Neodiprion lecontei: one gene and its partner. Each later gene encodes a partner of the first gene's protein in a complex. Links are inferred from orthologs where the notes say so. Each region holds a gene or a part of one and is shown on either strand. Other genes may lie near its edges.

Region 1 (3,705 bases):
TAGCGTACCACGGTATGTACTGATACTTGCCCTCTTGCTACAACAATCAATTCTTTGTTTCCTCCGAGACAATTTGCTCGGTATTAAATATTTTCATACGATATTCGAGTGGCAGGGTCAGTATGAAACGGTAAAATTATGCTATGGGGTAAACATTTTTTACTGTCTTGTTCACTGTTTTGCCGCATCTATTACTCTCGTGGAGCTACACTGCCCAGAGTGAAACCCTAATCAATATGCGTCATGAAAGACTGAATGTTTTACACGGATTTCTGTAAAGATAGGAGCGATTGCACGCCAAAGACAATATTTTTTATTACAGCAAATCGTGCGATAACCGTACCTCGGATAATGCATCTACCTGTACCCAACGTTGTTACATATATCAATATACTGTTCACAAAACGTTACTGCACCTGTTTGGCTCATAAATTATTATACTCGACGAAACAAGAATGTTGTGACCTTTCAATGTCGAGCATTAAAAAACCATAATCAGACACGTTAATTTTATCATCAAGTTTAATTGCAGTTGAATGTCAAAGAAATACAAATTAACAGTATAATCCAGTAACGGATAATTAATTGAATTCTTATTTATTAAATCGGATAGAAACACAAGTTGCAGAGCAAAGCATAGTTTCTTCTAGATGATAGTACACGGACTTGGAAGAATTTGAAGAAAGTCCTGCTTATGGTGTAGAAATTGTAGAAAATTCAAAATTAAACTAGCGAAACAGATAGACTTGACATCATAAATATATTTTGATTTTATATGTCACACTATTATGGAAACTACTTAGGATTTAAACAACTAACTAGGTAACAATATAGAAGTCATTTAACTTCATCCCGTTTTAGTCTGTTCTATTTCTTTCGGCTTTAGTAAAGAGTCCGCATCCTGCATAGTCATCTGGGTGAGCATCTTGCCGATTTTCTCGTGGACGTCCAAGTACTTGGCGATGCATCGATCCAAGCAAACTGATTCACCCTTGCCGAGCTCTGCCTCAGAGTACTTTGGCGGAATGCATTTCCTATGGCAGGCAGACGTCATGCGATTGTACATGTCCGTCATCATCTCTATTTCTAGATCCTGGACTAATTTGAGCTTCTCTTCGTCAAGCTGCGGTAGACCAGCCATGTTTACAATATATAATAAACTAAACTTTGCTCAGGCCTCGACAAACTTTTCCGTCAGTCTATTCAAAGTTGGAGTTTCGTACACGTTCCCTCGCTTTCATCATTTCATAGCGATTCCGTTCTATGGATCGTTTGGACAAGACAAAAGCGTACAACCCTCCAAATACGGCGAATGTCCTGGAAAAAAAAAACTATATTTTATGGTCTGTCACGAGGAAAATTGGAGATGACATGATCGTTCACCAATGATAGCTGCCGCGAAAGAAAGCTGCTTACATGCATGCGTACTAAACGGGTTATGTTGTATAATCCAATACAAAGATTGAAAAAATTTGATATGAAATATGATGCGATTCTGCAAATGGCACATATTTCTGTCTGCCTTTTACGAAAGTGCATGCAACGTACCTACACTGTTACTTATTCGTCCATTTACATACCTACCATCCAATGCCGACTTTTGCCGTCTTCGATAAGGCCATGTCGGAATCCGTGATGATCCCTGAATGAAACAGCACCCTGCTGGCATGGCGCATGCATGCAGCGCATGCGATAGGAATGGGGGATATACATCGATGTTTCGACTATCGATGTTTTTTTACGGGAGCATCGACGTTTTTGATCGGTGTTTTTTAACGTCGATACATCGATAGTCGATGGAAAATACTGAATTGTCGACGTCGTCAAGTCGGGAATAAATTAAATTTGTGAGCAAACAATTCTCGGTAACTTATTTATAAACACGGAACACACATTACTAAGTTTTATAATAAGTCTGTGTTCTCTACCAAATGTTTCACTATTAATCTGTATATTTAATTATTTTACTTTTGCATACTTAATTTAATTTATATTGAATTCTCATACTTAATACTTATTTTTAATTATAATGAAAGTTAAAAATTTTCGCGTTCATTTTCCTTTTTACCATTGTAGCTAGAATCATTTAAAATATTCGCGCTTGTTTTCACCATCGACGTGTTAACAATCCATGTTTCGATGTTTTCAGAAGAACATCGCTAGTTCGATGATAAAGAATTCAAACACGATGCCGGTGTTTATTTTCTACTAAGATCGCCCATCCCGGTATGCGATACGCGAGACAATGTCGTTCATCCGAACTATCCTATTCAACGAATGTGCAAGGAGGGCGTGCATCGTGCCCCGTGCGATGAAATACGACGCGCCGAGCCGTCGAGTGGCGTCCTCTGGACCGCGTAAGATGTGCAGTAGAGCAGTTCAGTCGTAAGGTAAATGCAAAGAGAGGATAAATGGTAATGTAATAAACGTGCTCTAACCTACCTCTACATCACATCAGCTCGGCGCGGCTAGACTTTGCTTACGTATTGGTGGATATCCTGTCGCTAGAAAAGCAGAGAACCATTGTTTTCTTCTCCAGGTCGAAAGGGTGGCTGGGTATTCCAGCACTTGGAAGCCGAAAACGTCTATTTCTAGTCCGAAGCATAATATATCAATAGGTATATCCACCCTGCATAGATGTTCGTACATATTATATTAGCATTTACCGGGTTACAGTTGAATACAAAGTCTGCTAAAGTTCGTTTTTTGCTCCTCATAGGGGGTTGCGAAACCCGTTATGGTATTTTCAATGTATTTCAAGCATTGAATCATTTTGAAACAGTTTCATACCTGATATTTACTTGACTTCCCGTACAGACACTGCTGCAACACTCTTCATCTTCCTTTTCAATTTCAGAACAATACAATGTCCACGCAATTCCTAGGGTGTACCGTGTCGGTCAAGTGCGATGAGTCACTTGGCACTTACCAAGGCCAAATTGTCGACCTTAACGGCCAAACCGTCACTTTGACAAAGGCTTTTCGAAACGGGGTACCTTACCCCTCTCCGCAAGTTGTTCTGTCGTAAGTTTTAGATCATATCGGTGATGATTAGGTGTTAACGACAATATCTTTTACATTATTTAATTCTAATTTTATTCCCTTATAGTGCCAAGGACATACTTCATATAGAAATAATCTCAACAGAGGAAGCTGAGGATTGCCGTGATGAAGTTCAGACTTCGAGCAAAGTCACGGTGAGGCGACCCATTGCAAAACGAGCTGGTAGATCCGTTTCTGAATGCATTCCACCTTTGGTACTTCCTAATTCCGATATTCAACAGCAATCTAATGCGCGGAAACCGCTTGATTCTATGCAGTCACACCCAGAGCCTGCTGCTAATGGAAAAATATATCTAGGTAGGATTTCCTGCACTTTCGGTAGTAAAATTTTAACGTTTGTCAGTTGATATATCGTAGTGTAAAAGATTGTGGGATATACTTAAGTAAAATTACAATTCCGAACTGTTATTTCCAGGCGAGATAAGCACAAAAAACCAGAAAAGGAGTTCGCAACGACAAAGATGGCAGGAGAAAGATGAACAAGCCTTTGGAACACCCATAGATCAGTCGATGGAGCAGGACTTTGATTTTGAGAAAAATTTAGCACTGTTCAATAAGGAGGTAATTATGGCATTTCATAAATCTGATGTCTGTACTTTTCATACCTTTTCCCACACCACTTACAGCGCTATACAACAATTA
Region 2 (4,401 bases), on another chromosome or scaffold:
TCGAGCTGGGCGACGCCGTGTGGATAATAAGCCTGGTTATTCTATAATAACTTCGGCGAACGAAAAAGTTTCAAGGTTTCTACAGGACCCTAGCCAAAGTGAACTAAAGCTGCATCCAATGCGACAGCCTGAGCGTGAAAAACTACGAAGGCTTGCCAATTTGTACAGCTTAAGTTTGAAGGGTGATTTGAGTTGTCCAATTTTATACAAAACTCGCCATACGACCCAAGCCATTTGCGTCGATCAAGTTTCTCTGAATAGAATATCCGATTACAAAAGGCTACGAAAGACTCCACCAAATTCGCCAAATCCTGATTCGGAAATGCAGGAGAATGAGCTACCTATTTCAAGTGTGAATTTTGGTACACAAATTACAAACCAAATACAGGGTATTGGCTCTGTCGAGAGCCTGACACAAACTGTAAACTTTGGCTGGGATATACCAAGTACAGACCTGCAAATAAAACCAAAGTTTCATAGCTTTGGTCACTCCAAATCTAGCTAAATGTTATAGAGATTTTATTACGAATCTACACATATGTTCTTGCATAATGACAATTCTCTGAAAACGCCGATTTTTACAGTCATAAACCAGTTTTTGTAAGTATAATTCAAACTTAAATCAAGCTCCATCGCACCTTGATAGCATGGTTGAATATAATCAAAGGCGAAAATCAATGACATTGCGAAAAGAAATGTAGCCGATTTTATTTTTCCGTCCCCTTCTTGTGAATTCATTAAACTTCGCTATTATCTGCTGACGTTCTGTGCAGTTTTTTCCGGAATTTCGTAATTTTTCTCATTCTATCAGAAAATTCCGTTCGCTTCACCGGTATTTAGTTGTATAAAAAGAGAAACTTACAATCCTGTCTTGTGTTTGAATTATATTTTAAAACATTTGTAAGAATGCCTGTAAAGAACAGTTACATAAAGAAATATTATTTACAAGCATTTGATATACTAAGGTTTACCAGAACAACAGTTACATGTCTCATGAACTATACTTCTGTACATTTTTGTGCCTAAACCAGATCTTGATGAAACATGCCCAAGAATTCCTCGAAGATGTATATCAGTTTTTTTTGAGGTGTAAGTAGATCTCCGGTCATTTATTTTTGGAATATCACTTGAAATAATGATTATAATAATTTATAACTATAGTGTTAAGTTGTTACCTACAGTACAGTCTGGAATACTGTATATGTTAATTATTATCATCTTCTATTAGGGTTTTTGAAAACTCGTTCATGAAAGATGGGCCAATGGTGGAAGTTATGTTTAAAAACATAATATAACAATAAATACACTACTACTTCTATAAAATTCATGCGTTAGTTTATTCATATAGTAAGACGTTTTTGATATACTAATAGCATATAACATAGAACGAGGAGCACTTGTTGATAAAATTCTAAATGACCAAAAATAAATGTAGTATTATTAGCGTAATTGACCTAATTTTTTAGCTGCTGCCATTGCATTTTCATTGGCTATCATCTGAAATTCTTGAAAGCGTTGGGAGACCCTCTGATTCATCTTCATATATTTCTCCATACAATTCAGCGCACATTTCTCCTCTTTGGTTCTCACTTCTCGTGTTGTAAAATCGGTTATACAGTCAATGAAGCAGATTTCCGATAGCTTATTGTATGATGTCAAGAAGTCTCTAAACTGAAAAGTTATAAAATTATTCCAATAATAAATATGTTTTATTAAATATTTTACTATGTCAAATTTAAACGATTAATTATATCGTTACACTTCGAATTTTTACCAGACTGTAGGACAAGACGAAAGTACGTTTAAATTACTTTTGCTGAAAGTTGTAATAGATCAACATTCGTAATTTTACTTCAACGGTACAAGATATTGGTAACTCTATTATACATAATCTAGATTGGCCTTCATATGAACAAGTGTTACATAGAATGACAACTTTCTTGAACTCAATTTGGGAATACGTTCGAATATTTGGGTTACGTTAGAGTTGTTAAGGAATTATTAGTCCTTTAAAACAAGCTAGTGAATTCAAAACTTAGCAACGTGGACAAACGATAACCTAAAAATATTATGACTGCAGATGATGTCTACCGTAATAACAAATCAAAGCGTAATATAACAGATATAAGACTTGACATGGAATTCGGTTCCCATAGAGGATTTTCTTATACTTTTTGATATTCAAATTTGAGACCCTTGAGAAGTTCAGAATTGAAGTGGTCCTCACTCAGTCGCATGTATTTTGACACATAAAACGAATACTTGCCGACTTGATTTGCTCCGCATCAACTTCAGTCGGCATTTCCATTTTTAGTATTCAAGTTTTGATTGACTAGAATGTTAAGTAAGGATTCGCAAATCCAACAAGATATTTCATTAGTAGTACGTCCCAATAAAACTGTGGCAATGTTATACGTGGAAGTTGCGAATTTTACTGGTCAATAAGAAACTCCGAATTTATCTAGTCAATCTTTGGGTTTAGAATATTTCTACAGCTGATGTAAAGAGTTGGCAAATACAAATTATGTGTAAAATCGGTATTCTTGCACGTTAGGATCAGAGATGGTTCAATTTACTGCATTTCCATGTCTGAAGTTAGTTAAAAGTACTCCCCTCCAAATGTTTATTCGTATGGTATGAATCGTGGTTTGGACTGCCCCCACCCCTTATAGCATAAAAATAAATCGACTTCAGTTAGGCACTAGTTCCGGGAGTTTGTCCAATCCCGGCGGATTTAACTTACGGCAGCTCCTCATTAACTGTAAATTGCATTGAAATTCAATGTCCCGAATAGAAAACCTCTTGTTGGTAGTTTTCGGTTGTTTATCATAGCAGACTATTCGAGAATTTCAGAATTCCATGACATTTCCAGGTGTTCCAGAATTGCCTGACGAGTAGTCACACTGGCTAAGTATATGGAGCGCACGGTAACATTAGTTATTGTTGTTCTTGTTGTCTTTCCTATGAATAGTACCGTTTACTGACTTGAGTTGCGCGACGCAGAATATAGAGATCAGGTGATACAACTTCAGTCAACGTATCAGTGGTTATGCCGGTTATACCATAGAAATTAGTGATGATGCTACCTCCGCGGGAATAAGCCTTATGTAGAGTGGTGCAGCCAGTGTAGCCATGCTATAGATCGTAAAACATGTACAGCAGCGAACATAACACGGTGGTAAAAATTAGAACTATTCTAGACGACACTTTTTGGAGTTCAGCTTACGCCACAAATGCATTAGAGTTCGGTCTGCTTCCCTCCAGTCTTCCTGGACGGGACTATCAAATTAAACATGGCGCCTGCTAGGTTATTGTCGTGAGTGATAATTTATTTTCTGGTGTTAATGTGAAAATTTCACAGGTTTTCCGGGCCGATGCGGAGCGCGGCGCGTACGGGAAGGCGTCCCGGCCTCGTTCGCCCCGGTTTAAACGTAACTCTGTAATCAGAACGCCAATAAAACATATAAATTGAATTGCATAAACAGTGGGTTGTGGGTATACACACCCTGACGCGAGATCCCTCGAGTATATCCTCAGCTTTATGGGTTTCTCCTATATTTGTGACGTAGTTAGTAGTTTCTTATTGACTGTTGTTCACCCTCGCAAACAAATACTCTGGCTGATTGGTGATAATTGTATATTAAAACCCGAAAATGTCGAGGTTTTGTACAGTGTTTTCTTCAGTGGGATAAGAGCCACCATCGGCTGCTTGAAGATCACTTTGGTAAATATATGGATTTTGTTTCTCTGCCACTTTATTTCACAGGCTAATCTATAAACTTTCATATCTGTCACGTGATGACATTAACGGATGATAAGTTTTTTTTTTCGTTTATTTTATTTATTTTTTAATGCATCTCAAATATGGCAGTGAATGAACCTCGACATTAAAACAAGTCAATTAGTATGCACATCATCACACTAACCTGTATCATGCATTATTTTACAGTAATCTAATTAATTAGATTTTATGCGAAATTTTATTCACCAATTTCGACATATTTATTAACCTGAGAAATATACAGTCAATTATCAATTCAATTATATCCATGCTAGTAGTTAAAGAATATTTCATTTCATCTTTGACTATGTTTACAGAAAATCAATAAAAAAAAAAAATCAATAATACTGAATTTCCACTTCCAAACATCTTCGAACTCTAATCAAATTTATAAATAGGCCTGATTTGGCCTTTATTATCAATAGATTTAACAGGTTATTGCGTCAATATGCCTGCTGTTATTTTTTTTTTTGTTAATTTCTATTGAATAAATTATAAAAGTATTGGCTCCATTTCTATATTCGAAAAATATTAACTAAGTAATATGAAATAAGACTTTTGACTTTAATTATATTCATTTTGGTGAGATGCCGTAAAGAAATGAAACCAACATCCAATTT

Evidence for each region.
Region 2: the proteins of mitochondrial import inner membrane translocase subunit Tim10 (region 1) and mitochondrial import inner membrane translocase subunit Tim9 are in contact, whole or in part, in a crystal structure (PDB 2BSK), measured with the Homo sapiens proteins. The link is inferred for Neodiprion lecontei from reciprocal best matches to the Homo sapiens genes TIMM10 and TIMM9. Residues at the interface, in NP_036588.1 of Homo sapiens: Glu16, Met17, Asp20, Met21, Arg24, Ala28, Cys29, Lys32, Cys50, Arg53, Cys54, Ser56, Lys57, Tyr58, Asp60, Ile61, His62, Arg64, Met65, Gly66, Lys68, Leu69, Leu72; in NP_001291414.1 of Homo sapiens: Lys15, Leu18, Gly19, Tyr21, Asn22, Lys23, Thr25, Glu26, Cys28, Phe29, Leu30, Val33, Asp35, Phe36, Thr37, Thr38, Arg39, Glu40, Val41, Glu45, Thr46, Glu50, Leu53, Leu57.

Annotation. Positions count from the first base shown.
Region 1 is NC_060266.1:25,977,832-25,981,536, forward strand, and holds mitochondrial import inner membrane translocase subunit Tim10, read right to left. Parts: upstream 1,743-3,705; 5' UTR 1,585-1,742; exon of another isoform or gene 1,549-1,584; intron 1,318-1,548; 5' UTR 1,142-1,317; coding exon 848-1,141; 3' UTR 505-847; downstream 1-504. Other genes in the region: enhancer of mRNA-decapping protein 3, read left to right, coding at 2,867-3,024, 3,110-3,360, 3,479-3,624.
Region 2 is NC_060265.1:19,686,262-19,690,662, forward strand, and holds mitochondrial import inner membrane translocase subunit Tim9, read right to left. Parts: upstream 2,653-4,401; 5' UTR 2,309-2,652; coding exon 2,267-2,308; intron 1,672-2,266; coding exon 1,441-1,671; 3' UTR 506-1,440; downstream 1-505. Other genes in the region: G patch domain-containing protein 2, read left to right, coding at 1-505. UniProt on the Homo sapiens protein: Mitochondrial intermembrane chaperone that participates in the import and insertion of multi-pass transmembrane proteins into the mitochondrial inner membrane.